Saccharomyces cerevisiae S288C: one gene and its partners. Changing the gene in region 2 together with the main gene of any one other region gives a genetic interaction. Each region holds a gene or a part of one and is shown on either strand. Other genes may lie near its edges. The genes, in order: FRA1, DFG16, HEM13 and PTR2.

Region 1 (4,418 bases), on a different chromosome or scaffold from region 2:
GCTTGCAAAAGAATCATACAATGATAATATATTATTATGATAGTTCAAGTTGTAATTAGAGTGGGATTCGTTTACAGGAATAGCGAAATCAAATCTCAAAGCGTCAATAACCAAAATCACCGCCTTGTTGAACCTAGGAGGTAACTTACTCGTTTCGTTTTGTGAGGAAATATTATCAAGAACGTGTCTTGACAGTAAGAATCCCCGAGTGAAAAAAGCTATTGATATGAATTGTAAAATGGCGATGAAAACCAATAGAATAATATAAAATTTATGATTCTTTTGAAATTTCTTTATTCGCGATTTGTATATTATTTTTTCATCATTGGAAGATGAAAGAATCGACTTTTTAATTGTCTTTTCATCCATATTACGGGAGCTTTTTTTTTCCACTTAATGTATTGATCTTCCTCCCGTTCTTTGACGATTCGGCGTTGCCCTTAAAACATATGCTTCTATTCCTTTTTTGATCTTACCCATTTATTTGTTTTTTTTTATTTTCCGGTGGACAACAAAATGTTAAAGGAAAAAAGAAAGTACCTTGCTCGTCATCGCGCTTGCATAATGTGCGCCATTACCCTGTAACAAAAACAAAAGATAGAGTGGCAACAACTTGACACAACTTTGCAATTGTACCATGAACCCCAACAAGAAAGGCGGTTGAGAGTAAATGATGTGGTTTGGTTCCTTTTTTTTCCTACATTTAAGGTTCATAGAGAAGAAAATTTTCTGAAATGTCTTTTCCTCTTTTAATGAATTGTAAAAAAGCCAGTATTGGAATAATATTCTATTCAATATAGTAAGAAAAGAGGCAATGGGCAGAAATCTTCTCCCGCATAATCCTTTAAATGCAAAATACATGTTAGGCGTCTAAATTTTTTTCAGTGAATCCAGATGCAGAAACATTTAAACAATAAATATCTTAAACCCATTTTGAAGCATCGGCGGCTAAAAAAATGATTTTGCATGGAAAAAAATGAGAGCTGTGAACCCAATAAAAAAGACAGCTTTTTAAAAATGTATAACGGTACATTAAGCTCTTGTTTATTCCTCAAACTGCTCCTAAAAACCATCCTCTCAAAAATAATAATGATAGCTGAAGATTATCTGCCACGAAATGCCATTGAGCCGCTTACTTGTAGGTTTTCATGAGTAATAACGAAGATAATTTACCCGTCTTTATAACCCACGTAAAAATAAACATATAATTATTTCTTATTATTTCAACTAACCGTTAAAGTGTTCAAATATGGTAGAAAGCTTTCCCTATGTGCATTATGATTATCTTTTAGCCGCCAGAGTTTAGTTTAATTTTGTTTTGTTTTTGACGACTTCTGGTGTTACCCGAAGGTATATCCCCGGGTGACCCCTAAAAATCGCACCCCATTTTCCCGAATTTTCTTCTACGTTTTCTTTTTTCAGAAATACTTCGAATGAGGGATGGAACAAGAAGGAAGCGACATACAAAAACTGAGTCAGTTTAGTCTTAATAGGTGCAATATTTACAAATACAGGAAAGGCAGGAAGCACTGGCAAAAAGACTGCATAGCTAAAAAAAAAAAGAATAAAAAAAAAACGGAGACCTCAACAGAGCGAAACCAATAATTACAAACAAAATCTTCATATGACTTCGAAACCATCCACCAGTGACGGCAGGGCTCACTCGATTTCCCATGTACCTGGCACGCACATGAGAGGAACATCGGCATCACACAGCCCCAGACCGTTTAGGCCATGTGCGGATTGTACGTGTTCTCCAGGCTTACTGTCTAGGCAAGGTCGTAGAGCCTCTCTATTTTTAAGACAGTTAGAAAATTCAAGGAGGTCCTCCAGCATGCTTCTCAACGAGTTGAAGGGCGCTGGCGGAGGTAGCAGTGCTGGAAATGGGTCTGTTTACTCATGTGACTCTCTATGCGCTGTTAACAGGGAAGTTAACACTACTGATAGATTGTTGAAGTTGCGTCAGGAGATGAAGAAACACGATTTGTGTTGTTATATTGTGCCCAGTTGTGACGAACATCAGTCCGAATATGTATCATTGCGAGATCAAAGGCGCGCCTTCATTTCAGGGTTTTCCGGATCGGCCGGTGTAGCCTGTATCACCAGAGACTTGTTAAATTTCAACGATGACCATCCGGATGGGAAATCCATTTTGAGTACTGATGGAAGATATTTCAATCAAGCTAGACAAGAACTAGATTATAATTGGACACTTTTGAGGCAAAACGAAGACCCAATCACTTGGCAAGAATGGTGTGTCAGAGAAGCTTTGGAAATGGCCAAGGGACTTGGCAATAAAGAGGGAATGGTGTTGAAGATAGGTATTGACCCAAAACTTATCACTTTCAACGACTATGTTTCTTTTAGAAAAATGATTGACACTAAATATGACGCAAAGGGTAAAGTGGAGCTGGTTCCCGTGGAGGAAAACTTAGTTGACAGTATTTGGCCTGATTTTGAAACTCTACCTGAAAGGCCTTGTAACGATTTACTACTGTTAAAATACGAGTTTCATGGTGAAGAATTCAAAGACAAGAAGGAAAAGTTACTGAAAAAGCTGAATGATAAGGCTTCCTCTGCGACGACCGGTAGGAATACTTTCATAGTAGTTGCGTTGGATGAAATTTGTTGGTTGTTGAACTTGCGTGGATCCGACATTGACTATAATCCAGTTTTTTTCTCCTACGTGGCTATTAACGAAGACGAAACCATTCTTTTCACCAATAACCCCTTCAATGATGACATATCGGAATATTTTAAGATAAACGGTATTGAAGTCAGACCTTACGAACAGATATGGGAACATTTAACAAAGATAACTTCGCAGGCTTCTTCTGCGGAGCATGAATTTTTGATTCCTGATAGTGCATCGTGGCAGATGGTTCGTTGTTTGAACACCTCAACCAACGCTAACGGTGCAATAGCTAAAAAAATGACTGCACAAAACTTTGCGATAATTCACTCACCCATCGATGTTTTGAAATCTATCAAGAATGACATCGAAATAAAAAACGCACACAAGGCGCAGGTCAAAGACGCAGTATGTTTAGTGCAGTATTTTGCATGGCTGGAGCAGCAATTAGTGGGGCGCGAGGCACTGATAGATGAATATCGTGCCGCAGAAAAATTGACCGAGATTAGGAAAACCCAAAGGAACTTCATGGGCAATTCCTTCGAAACAATATCCTCCACAGGTAGTAACGCCGCCATCATACATTATTCGCCGCCCGTAGAGAACTCTTCGATGATTGATCCTACCAAGATATATCTTTGCGACTCCGGTTCGCAATTCTTGGAGGGTACAACTGATATAACAAGAACAATTCACTTAACAAAGCCAACCAAAGAAGAAATGGATAATTACACACTGGTACTTAAAGGTGGCTTAGCCCTAGAGAGGTTGATTTTTCCCGAAAACACTCCCGGGTTTAATATCGACGCCATCGCTAGGCAGTTTTTATGGTCCCGCGGGTTAGATTACAAACATGGCACAGGCCATGGTATCGGATCATTTTTAAACGTTCACGAAGGACCCATGGGTGTCGGCTTTAGGCCACATCTGATGAATTTCCCCTTAAGAGCGGGTAACATAATAAGTAACGAACCAGGTTATTATAAGGATGGTGAGTATGGTATCAGGATTGAAAGCGACATGTTAATCAAGAAGGCCACTGAGAAGGGTAACTTCTTGAAATTCGAAAACATGACTGTGGTTCCCTATTGCAGGAAGTTGATCAATACTAAGTTACTAAACGAAGAAGAAAAAACACAGATTAACGAGTACCACGCAAGGGTATGGAGGACAATAGTGCATTTTCTGCAGCCTCAGAGTATTTCATACAAGTGGCTGAAAAGAGAAACAAGCCCACTATGACTTCGAGGCGAGCGGGGCGCAATACAATTAATGTTAGTATTTATTCTAAGTAGTTTCTTTCTTTTTATTTAATTTGAGTGATAACAATAACAACAATAATGACTAAAAGGTGAAAATTGAAAACATTACCTTCATTTTTTTACGGCCGGAGAGGGGTAGGTACACTTAACCCCGAGCGCTTTTAGTGCCAAAAAGAGTTAATGTGCGTAGTCGGATTTTAAACGACCATGCATGTACAGCCCCCTAGTGATTTATACTGATGCCTCATCAAGAAATTTTTTCATCCAGGGTCCCTGCTCGGCGAACCTTTCCGCAAGAGTCACAAAAATCAATCTTATAACCAGGCACCAGTAGTACTGCCAAGCTTGGACTACATAGCCAACGTAAAGACAAGGAGTCTGATTTAGTATTTCTTTTTTGCCAGCCAGTATTTTCTGCGCAGGATAGATTATTTTAAGAGCCGAGAATTCCTTATGCGGGCCCGGTCACAACGGATTATAGGTTCCGCCAGACCCCGTTGCTTTGGTTCCATGGAGCAGGAGCA
Region 2 (3,998 bases):
GCCATTTCTTAGGAGGTGGGAAGACATGGCAGTGAGTGGGCCCTATGATTGCTGCTGCAGGGGACTTTTCAGGATAATCATGTAAACGATAAAACGGAAAAACAAAACTACGGACGTTGTTACCTTTCCATTTTGAAATGTTTCTCCGAAAAAATACCATTTTGCACAGTTCAACATTCTTGATGGCAAAAGCGAAGCATTGCGTCAACGGGTTAGATAAGTCATTTACTGTCAATTAGTACCAATACCTGTCTTTGCTCACCGAATGGCACTATACAGTGACGTTAAGATCTTGTAGTTGTTTTTCAAGAAGGCACTAAATAAGGTAATATATGGTGCCTTTCGCAATGACTCGTGTATCTGGCAGATCTATAGCTGCACACCTGATTTTTTTGCTATATTTGAATCAGGAGTAAGTTTGAACCATAATCATTCCAATTCAGTTTGATAGTACCTTTTTTTTAAAATTTTTGAAAGAGCTATCGCTTAGCTATCGGCGGGCATATTGAATTGCGCAGTAGATGAACATTTCACTAGTTGTGGCCAAAGAAGTTAGTTAAAAAGTGTAAATATGTCACAGTACTTATCCTTCTCTAAAGAATTAGTTTATTAAAAGCAGCAACAAGAAGAATGACTGTCAACCATTTTTAGGTCATTGCAACAAATCTCAAAATACGCTTTTATAGATAATCTAAGAAGATCGTTATATGGGAATACTAACAGTGAGAAAATGGAAGAAACGGGTTAGCGTAGAAAATTGTAATTAAAAAACAACAGTTTTAAGAAGGTGGTGGGCAATTAATACTTGAGGATTAATACTTAGAGCTTATTCAAAAAGAAAAGATAGAATTTCATGTAATACATGAGAACAATGTAAGGTTTTTAAGGTAACGAGTAACTAAGTTTTGAAATATCTTCACTAGCCTTGCAATCATCTTTTAGCTTTTCTATTTGCCGGATTCTTTACAACATAATCACGCTTTCTTCTAGTTGTAATTTTCCTTCTAGATGTCATTATTTCAACCGATGTCATTAATATCCTTTTATGGTGTTTACAAAAAGAAAGTTTCAAGTACCGCTCACCTACACTACGTTGTAATTCTTAGATACATAACTTTAGTTTTGTCGCCTATGTGCACAGATAAACAAAACAACCTATAAAATTTCCGTTGGGCCCTTTTGTCCCTGATTTCTGGTGTGTAACCCATTTATTTCTGTCCTGTAATAATTCGTCTTCGGTGATTGCCATATATACACAGTTTAGCTTTACTAACTATAAACATCCGAGAAGAAGAAAAAAGAAGGTCTGATTTCTATCAAACAACATGTGAAGATAACACAATCGATGTGATTGATATCAGATTTACTAGCCCCGTTGGATTGAAAAATCTGCAAGGAAGGGCTAAAGAGCAATATACTTTCTTTTGTTGTTTCGGGGTGATGAGAAAATTGTAACTTTTTTTTTTAACTTGGCGAGAAAATTGACTGGAAGAAGTGTCAAAGATAAGGCTTCTATCATATTCAAAACAAGTACCACCAAATGGCAGCTCAACTCCGAAGGCTCAAAAACAATACTTATTGATATTGCACTCACAAGCATTTTTTGTTGCGGAACGTCTTTACGTGCAAGATTAATGATCATAAGATTGCATTTTTACTACCTCCTCACTTTAGTTTACCATTTAGGACTTGTAGGTGCGTATGAAAAAGCAGCAAGAAAGAGAATTCAACCTCCCGATTTGATACCTGGTCCTCCGGGACATAAACTTGGTGATGAAAGACCACCGCATTACGACCACCGGCCACCTTATAAAAAACACATCGACAACATTCCAGCTTACAATCTGACTGATTTGATAGATGATAAACTACTAAATAAATATGAAAACTCATGCACGGTAAATGTATTGACAGGTGGCTTCATCTCTCTAGCAAGTAATTCGTGGCACTTACGTGCTTATAATTACACTTTAAATTACCCATCCTTTTTGATCCGATGCGATAATGGCAGTGCAAATCCTAATTTCTCTCATGTCTTACAAGACTTTGTTTATGACATCAACAACAAATTCAACGTTCAAGATGACAGTAGTAAATACATCGGAAAAGACCCATTTCCCTTAGGAATGATAATGATCACCTTTGCTTCTGGGTGTATCTGTGTGGCAACATGGATGCTATTTTTGGTTGTCTTATTACTGCCATCCGATAATCATAATAGAAGAAATAAAGTTGTACATGTTTACGTCCTTTTCTCTGCGATTATAAGAACTGTATTTCTAAACGAGACTATAGCCGTCATATTTGACAGCCAATATCACGATGACTACCAGGATGCGAGCCAATTTGAATCGTTCATCGTAGAAACTGCACCATATAAAATATGTGAATTAGTTGCAAATATTTTGAGTGATATAAACTGGATTTATATTGTTCACTACTTACAGTCCAATTATGGAAAACCAACTTGGAATTGGATCCCATTTAAAATGAAAAAGGGGACACATATCATAATTACCGTGGGTTGCTTCCTCTCACTAGCCGATAACATTTTATTCGCAAACCTTCTTTGGAGAAAGAACCTTGTAGTTTTGAAGGTATTTTACAAGCTAATCGAATTACTGATTTACACAATTTTCATCTCCATTATTTGTTACTTCACATGGCATAATTTTGCTTACATACTTTTACCGAAAACTGCTGAAATTAATACGGACGGTAAGTGTAAAACGAAATTGAGAATTCTTTGGGAAAATTATCACGAAACTATACCATTATTGGCGTATAATATTCTTATATTTATTTTATTCTATTTCACCACAATTTTTTTCGCTGCTTTCACCAAACATGTTAGAGGTTGGACATTTAACTTTGTTCATCTTTTGAAAGTTTTAATAACAGTGAACGTTTGGGGCTTAATTGGAGTATTGGAAAAGAGGGAGCTGCACATAAGCAAAAAAACAGTCCTTGGACGAAAAATTAACAATAGGGACAAATTTTTCGCCAATCCAACAGTCAATTATTACGGAGAAGATTTAGGCAAGCATTTAAGCGCCATAACGTTAAACAGGGATTTAAACACTACTAAAAGTAACACTACTTCCCACGATTCATCAAGTTTAGTAGGATCCCCTTCACCCACCTGGAAATCTCCAATCGAAAGAATAAGGGACAGAAGAAGAAGACATAAGATAATGAAAAGTGAGAATAAATTTGGGCAAAATCCCAGTTTTGGAAGTAAATCGAATGGCAAACCTAATACTAAAACGACATTATCCAAATATCGACAGCTATTAAGGAAGCCTAGGCGAAAAACCAATTCATATGAACCAAAAAATGGCATTGGACAGAATAAAGAAGGCTCAACTGTTAGACCAGGAGCCGACAAACATATTAGAGATTCCAATTATCTAGCTACAGACATCAGTGACAACGAAAGTATGGAAACCGAACTTCGAACCAACCACATTTATAATTACGAAAATAGTGATTAAGGCAGGCCCAGTGGACGAAAAGACATAACTGCAGAAGTACAGCTGCCTTTATTTCTTGTGGTCATTTATTGCTTTTATTTTCAAGTCAGATATACAAGAAAATCAAATCCCATCGTCAACGTCACGTATAAACGATTAATTTACAGTAATACCATACTCTACCAACATTATTTTAGTCCGACGTTCAGTCCTGTAGGTGTTCCAAATCCTTCTGGCATTGACTTCTGTGCAGAAACCCTTCAAAATGAGTTCCACTTTACGTCAGATCGCATAACAACCGGTCATATATTTTTTTCTTTTGCTAAACCCCCTACTGCAAGCACTTTTAAGAAAAAGAACAATAAATGCGTCTTTATTGCTGTGTGGAAGTGATTTTTGTCTTTCGGACAAAAAAAGGATAGGGATGCGAGAGGGCTGTGAAGTAGTGATCAAGCGGGGCCTATATAAGAAGGGCGCACATCGTCCCCCCTAAGAATAGCGAAGCGATATTACACTGAACACTAC
Region 3 (3,399 bases), on a different chromosome or scaffold from region 2:
CAATGTGGATCAAACCAAAACCCAATGTCCCAATTATGATACTTGTGGTGGTGAGAGTGCTTACTTTTTCCAACTACAAATTAGGTCAGCTGATGAGCCGATGACTACCTTTTATAAGTGTGTAAACTGTGGTCATAGATGGAAGGAAAATTAAGAAGTCCTTGAATATAAGATGAATTTTCTAAGAATAAAAAGAGTAATAAAAACATCTTAAAATTTGATTAGAAGGCATGATCGCATATTGAGAATGAAGGCTGCTGCCATATTTTTAGAGCAATAGATACTGATATAATTTTTGATCCTGCACGTACTGTGAACTTGCATCATAAATAGGACGCAATAATTAATATTTTTAAGAATAGAGATCCTGTATCAATTGAATTTGAAGAATTATGTAAAGGAGGTATAATAAATAGATAAAAAAATGTATAAATAAGTGGTCGAAATAATTAAATCATCATTGTCATTGAGATCATAAAATCGGTCTGCTAAAGAACCTTGAATTATTTAACCCACTCTCTTGGTTTGGTGGTAACTTCTAGTAATTTAGCTTCTCTGGAACCAGGAGCAGGGTGGTGGTTGTATAACCATGAAGCATGTTCAGGCAAACTCATCAAAATTGACTCAACTCTAGAGCCTGGGGTTCTCAAACCGAATTGGGTACCTCTATCGTAGATTAAGTTGAATTCAACGTATCTACCACGTCTAATGGCCTGCCATTGTTGTTCTTCCTTTGTATATGGCATATCTTTTCTTCTCTTGACGATAGTCAAGTAGGATGGCAAGAAAGCATCGAAACAGTCTTCAACCATCTTCAATATTTCTTGTGGGTCACGTTCATCATAATCGTCAAAGAATATACCACCAATACCACGTGTTTCCTTACGGTGGGTAATGTAGAAGTACTCATCACACCATTTCTTGAAACGTGGGTACAAAGCAGTGTCGTGCTTGTCCAAGGCATCCTTGTGCAGTTGGTGGAATAATTGACCGTCTTCTTCGTATAAGTAAGAAGGTGTCAAATCAGCACCACCACCAAACCACCAAGTTTGTGGGGTCCCATCTTGGTTCCAAGTTTCGAAGTAACGGTAGTTTAAGTGCGTGGTTGGAGCGTGTGGGTTAACGGGATGAATGACCATACTTAAACCACAAGCGAAGAACTTGACACCGTCGGTAACTGGCAAACCAGTCTTTGGATCTTCTGGTAGACGCAGATTCTTATGATCAGCTTTCATGGCTGAAACGGCCGCTGGGCTCAATTGACCATAAACAACGGAGACATTAACACCACCTTTTTCGAAAGTTGTACCGTCTTGGATAACCATAGAGGTACCACCACCACCATCGTTACCACGGGTCCAAGTATCAGCGTGGAACTTAACAGTATCGATGGATTCCAAACCTTGCGTGATTTCAGCTTGTTTGCGACGGATAAGAGCTTCCATTTGTTGTCTAATTGGAAGATTCCTTGGATCTTGAGGGGCAGGCATCTTTATGTGTATTTAATTGTGTTCGAAGAGTTCGGTTTGCTATGTTTGATTTGCGAAAAGAAAGCTTTTGATATGCTCAAAAAAAGAAAACCCGGAGAATAAAAGCTTAACAAAGAAAGACAATAGGTGGAAAAAAAAAGGAAAATCCGTGTCCTTATATAGCCTTTCGAAACGAGAACAATGGGCAAAGCAAGCTTTATCTTCGGATCGTCCGTCAGCGCTTTGGTTGCAGTCTTATGCTTTGTTCAAGCTGGAGCGTTATTGGTGGGAGAACCAGAAAAGGCGAAAGCGTAGCGTTCTTTGAAATTTGGCTTCTGTTCCTGCGACTCGTTTAAAAGTAGAAGGGCCCGCGGAGCCGCTGTGAAAGATTTCTTTTACTCTTTCAGCGCAGAAATCTCGCAGGAGCTCAGCAGAAAGTGCCTATGACGGTAATCCCAGGGGCTAATGGTGTGAAGGCACTTTCTAAACAATTGAAATTAAAATACCGTGCCTATAGTAACTTTTTTTTACGCTGTGAACCGTTCAACACACAGTAAAAACTCCGCAGGAAATGGTTTGAAGAATCTTAATCACGAATTAGGCGTATTGTTTTTCCCAACAGTGAACGAGAGGACAAACTCCAGAGGATTTGCGGGCTTGATGATAAAATGTATTGTTGAAAAGATCGCGAATGCAACAATTACGGTGGGGAGAAATATCAACAAAAGGGCAAGGCTATGCCTTCTGGAAAGTGGCAGACTTGCACTTTCCTCGAAAAGAAAAATGACCGCAAGATCCGGTTGTTCTCAACCTTCTACATTAAGACATACTTCTACGATTTTCGAATGCCGAAGCAACTATCGCTGAAATTTGTCATGTCAAAATTGCTACTGGGGGAGAAGAATATATATGGAAGTAATTATTATTTACGTTGCTGAAATGGCAGGTTAGACGCATGTTTTGCAAAATAAGTGGTTTTGAAAAGAATTGATACTAGGAATCGGTGCAATACCTTCTACCTTTCTTAATAGGTATTCTTGAATAATCTACCTCACTTTCTGTCCCAGATACGAGATGTCGAGCGCCTCGAAAATAGATATCGTTTATTACGTTAGATACGGAAAGGTCTACGTGTCATAATAAATTGCATCTGGATTGCGATTTTGGGTCATGCCTAACTGGGAAAATATTTACATCTCCATGTTCTCATTCTGCCTTTGCTTTCCTTCAAAACATGGTTTTCAATTCAACCTAGGGTCTACCGCGGAACCATATGTACGCCGTAAATGCGAGTGTTCTTGAAAGGTAGTAATGTGTTCCCTCTCAATATGTAAGTCCTTCAAGAGTATGCACTTGCAGTTGCACTGTTTCGGGTAATTATCCGTCATTAAGAAAAAGATGCTTCCACTTTCTCGTGTTTTTACGCACAATCGTGCCATTTAACCGGAAATAGACTCCATTGCATTGATTGCTCTCATAAAAATTATAGCCCGCGTTTGATACTTGTTTAAAATAGGTGTCGACAAAGTTAGTTTCTGTCTTCCATTTAGTTTTTACAATATGACACGTCAAATAAATCTTTTCGATTTAGTTAAAAGAGTTACCTGGCGATAGCCTTCTGGTAAAACACCTATTCATAAAACAATCTTAAAAAACCAAAAAATTACCAAACAACTATGTAGGACATATTTTTACAGTTCATAAAAACGCTTCGAGCTGCCGATATCGGTATCAAACACCAAAATATACATAGTGCTGGTTTAAGCCAGAATATCTTGGTGAAGCTGCGCCTATATGCCTTGTATTTAAAACAAGTCACGAAAAGCTATTGCCAAAGGAACATAAAAACTCGTATCTATGTTATATTATAAAAAAGATATAATATTTATATATTATTATTAATATTATTTTTTAGTTCCGAAAGGAGAAA
Region 4 (4,108 bases), on a different chromosome or scaffold from region 2:
AAAAAAATTGTATGCTCGAGCGATGGGAAGGTTTTTTCCTCTTCCCGTTCAAAGCTTCCTCGGACCAACTCCACTTTTTCTCGGCCCGTTGTAAAGAAATGGGTAAGAGAACTAAATTGCAATAAGCTTCGAATTATCGTTTTGATCCAGACATAAAGAGATGTACAAACTACAAAACAAGAGTAAAATAACTCGAACGAAGGGTACACCTTCTGTAATAAAACAAATTCACTATAACTGCCTTATTGGAGTGAAAAAACAAGATTATGTAGACCCCCTCTCGCGATAAAGAACATTAATGACTGCAACACCCGCACACCACAAGGTGAAGGGCAAAGGTGAATTAACCAAAGTGAAGAGGACGACGTAGAATCAACCAGGTATCCTTGATAAGGGGAGGAGTAAGAAAAAAGTGTGTCGAACGTAAATTTATGTGTCTAATGAAAGTATCTTCACACTAAGATTATAATTCTCCTTGGCAAAACAAAATGACACCTTTGTCCTGTTTTCGTTATCTACTTTTTTTTGTGTCAGATGTCATTTTGGTCTCCTACGCATCCACTACATCCTTGTCACAATTTGTTATCAGTAACCAACTTAGATGACTTGCACCAGCGCCACATCTTCGAAAGCGTTGAAACAAACTACGTAAACAAACAAAAAGTCAACATCCTGTAGATGTGGCTGCAAAACCACAGAATCCTCGTGTGGGAGAAAATATTGATAGGACCAGAGCGAACTTTTTTGATACAGACGTAGGAGGTAGCCGTTACCGCATTAGTATACTATATGCGTACGGCCGCCAAGAGCCCAAGAAAGAGACACAAAACTACGTGGGATAAGCTTGGGGTAACGCAATCAGTATTGTTCATTTTTTTTCCCGGAAAAGCTAAGAGTTTTCTGGCGAGATAAGATAACGGCGCCGAAGGCAGCGGCGAACTGACTTACCTCCGTCGGCTCCGGCGTACGGCACCAAAAAATCCCGCAATAACTTGACACCAATGGGCTAACGGCGTCCGCAGAACCGTGACGCAATCTGCGGTTTGTGTCAAGACAGAGAAGTGGGCTGCTTCTCCCCTTTCAACACTCCCCTCCCATGGCTGAATACTCAGACGTTTTCTGTGGTGGAAATGGCATCAAAAGTGCCACTGGCTGGCGAATCCAGACTATTTTGTGTCAAAGAAACATGCGTACCTGCACAATAAAAAGAAAAGGCCCGCCCTACTGACATCCTGTTCAGGATCCTCGAAGAACAGGAAAAAGGACAACCGTCCTTTTCACTTCACGTTCGCAGGGCTTTCCTCGATATAATGGCGATTACACAAGCGGTGGCGTCTTGAAAAAAGTTGGGTTTCTTATCTGTACGGCGATCACTCCCCTCATATGATAGCTGTGTAGAGTGACTTGCTCTTTGATTGGCCTTACTTCTTGCATCTATCATCCTTTCTTTTACTCTCTCCAATCACCACAACTCATATCATTCTACATTTCATTTTATTGTTCTGTACAATTTTTAGGTTTGTAAAATATATAAGTGATGTACATATCTTCTATATCCTTTCCGTTTGTGTCTATTTTAGGGTTGGCTTATTACGCATTATTCCTACTTTATTTTTACTTGCTTACTTGAAAAAGAAGGTATACCACAGTGCTGCTCCACTGCAAACAATATAAAATATTATCAATTATTTTTTTTTTTCTTCTTTTGAATTAGATCACTAATAAACTCTTATAATGCTCAACCATCCCAGCCAAGGCTCAGATGATGCTCAGGACGAAAAGCAAGGCGACTTCCCGGTCATCGAAGAGGAGAAGACCCAGGCTGTAACGCTGAAGGATTCGTATGTTAGCGACGACGTCGCCAACTCCACGGAACGCTACAACTTGTCCCCTTCTCCGGAGGACGAAGACTTCGAAGGCCCCACTGAAGAAGAAATGCAGACTTTAAGGCACGTTGGTGGTAAAATTCCTATGAGGTGTTGGTTAATTGCTATTGTAGAGCTTTCCGAGAGATTCTCCTACTACGGGCTTTCCGCACCATTCCAAAACTACATGGAATATGGACCTAATGACTCCCCAAAGGGTGTTCTGAGCTTGAACAGTCAGGGTGCCACTGGGTTGTCGTATTTTTTCCAGTTTTGGTGTTACGTTACACCAGTTTTCGGTGGTTACGTTGCGGACACCTTCTGGGGTAAATATAATACAATTTGTTGCGGTACCGCTATTTACATTGCCGGTATTTTCATTCTATTTATCACTTCGATTCCCTCCGTTGGTAACAGAGACAGTGCTATTGGTGGGTTCATTGCTGCCATTATTCTGATCGGTATTGCCACTGGTATGATTAAAGCTAACCTTTCCGTGTTGATTGCCGACCAGCTTCCTAAGCGGAAACCCTCCATCAAAGTTTTAAAATCGGGCGAAAGAGTCATTGTCGATTCAAATATTACTTTACAAAACGTTTTTATGTTCTTCTATTTCATGATCAATGTCGGTTCTCTATCATTAATGGCCACTACTGAATTGGAATATCATAAGGGGTTCTGGGCGGCCTATCTATTGCCCTTCTGCTTCTTTTGGATCGCTGTTGTCACTTTGATTTTTGGTAAAAAGCAATACATTCAAAGACCAATCGGAGATAAAGTCATCGCTAAAAGTTTTAAAGTTTGTTGGATTTTAACTAAGAATAAGTTCGACTTCAACGCTGCTAAACCTTCTGTTCATCCAGAAAAGAACTATCCATGGAATGACAAATTTGTTGATGAAATTAAGAGAGCTTTGGCGGCTTGTAAAGTCTTTATATTCTACCCAATTTATTGGACCCAATACGGTACCATGATTTCCAGTTTCATCACTCAGGCCAGTATGATGGAATTACATGGAATTCCCAACGATTTCTTACAAGCATTCGATTCCATTGCGTTGATCATTTTCATCCCAATTTTTGAAAAATTCGTATATCCTTTCATTAGAAGATACACTCCACTAAAACCAATTACAAAAATTTTCTTCGGTTTCATGTTTGGATCTTTTGCCATGACATGGGCTGCTGTTCTACAAAGTTTCGTTTACAAGGCTGGTCCATGGTATAATGAACCTCTGGGTCACAACACCCCAAATCATGTCCACGTTTGCTGGCAAATACCCGCATATGTCTTGATTTCTTTTTCAGAGATCTTTGCCTCTATCACTGGGTTGGAATACGCTTATTCCAAAGCCCCAGCTTCCATGAAATCGTTTATTATGTCCATTTTCTTATTGACTAACGCCTTTGGTTCTGCAATCGGTTGTGCATTGTCCCCAGTGACCGTTGATCCTAAATTTACATGGTTATTCACTGGTTTGGCTGTTGCCTGCTTTATTTCTGGTTGTTTGTTCTGGTTGTGCTTCAGGAAGTATAATGATACAGAGGAAGAAATGAACGCTATGGACTACGAAGAAGAAGACGAATTTGATCTCAATCCAATTTCCGCACCTAAAGCTAACGATATTGAAATATTAGAACCAATGGAAAGTCTAAGATCCACCACCAAATATTAGTGCGTTTAATTAACTTACTGTCTTTTTTTTTTTTTTTTTTTTAACCATATTACGTTGACGGGAGTTTTCTGTGCTGCTGTTATTTGTTTCACAGAACTCTCTCCTCTTCCATTGCTATCGAACAGATAAAATGGAATTTCTTTATGTATAATTACTATTGTATAATATTCAGTAAATCTAAATTTTAAGCTCATATATCTAAACACTACAACATGGAAGCAGCTTGTCCTCTTCAGGCTCACTGTATCCGTTTACTCTTATTTCGCGTATTTGCATACCATTATCTCAAATGACTTGTTATTATATCTTGATATATATTGTATTATAGAACAATTTGTGAAGAGAGGTCCATATTAAGATTTCCTCCCATTTACAAATAGAATAGAAAAGGAAATATATATGTAGTAAAAAAATCGTGATGTATACAAACTTTGGATTTGTGGAGATCGTAATAAATCGATTATTTCAACTTCTTCTTTGGACGCAATTGGTTGGTGTGACCACACTTTCTCTTTCTACAGTTGGTAGCTCTTGGTGGTAATCTGGCGTAACATTTACGACAAACAGA

What was found.
Region 1: mutations in DFG16 (region 2) and FRA1 together harm fitness more than expected from each alone (negative genetic interaction), as found in Saccharomyces cerevisiae (2 studies listed by BioGRID).
Region 3: mutations in DFG16 (region 2) and HEM13 together harm fitness more than expected from each alone (negative genetic interaction), as found in Saccharomyces cerevisiae (2 studies listed by BioGRID).
Region 4: mutations in DFG16 (region 2) and PTR2 together harm fitness more than expected from each alone (negative genetic interaction), as found in Saccharomyces cerevisiae (2 studies listed by BioGRID).

The regions. Positions count from the first base shown.
Region 1 is NC_001144.5:79,837-84,254, forward strand, and holds FRA1 (aminopeptidase P), read left to right. Parts: upstream 1-1,624; coding exon 1,625-3,874; downstream 3,875-4,418. Other genes in the region: mannose-ethanolamine phosphotransferase GPI13, read right to left, coding at 1-369; RRT7 (Rrt7p), read right to left, coding at 520-861. UniProt on the Saccharomyces cerevisiae protein: Involved in the regulation of the iron regulon in responss to decreased mitochondrial iron-sulfur cluster synthesis.
Region 2 is NC_001147.6:385,191-389,188, forward strand, and holds DFG16 (Dfg16p), read left to right. Parts: upstream 1-1,634; coding exon 1,635-3,494; downstream 3,495-3,998. UniProt on the Saccharomyces cerevisiae protein: Involved in invasion during filamentous growth.
Region 3 is NC_001136.10:544,733-548,131, reverse strand, and holds HEM13 (coproporphyrinogen oxidase), read right to left. Parts: upstream 1,491-3,399; coding exon 504-1,490; downstream 1-503. Other genes in the region: DNA-directed RNA polymerase III core subunit RPC11, read left to right, coding at 1-154.
Region 4 is NC_001143.9:613,996-618,103, forward strand, and holds PTR2 (Ptr2p), read left to right. Parts: upstream 1-1,734; coding exon 1,735-3,540; downstream 3,541-4,108. Other genes in the region: ubiquitin-60S ribosomal protein eL40 RPL40B fusion protein, read right to left, coding at 4,001-4,108. UniProt on the Saccharomyces cerevisiae protein: Uptake of small peptides.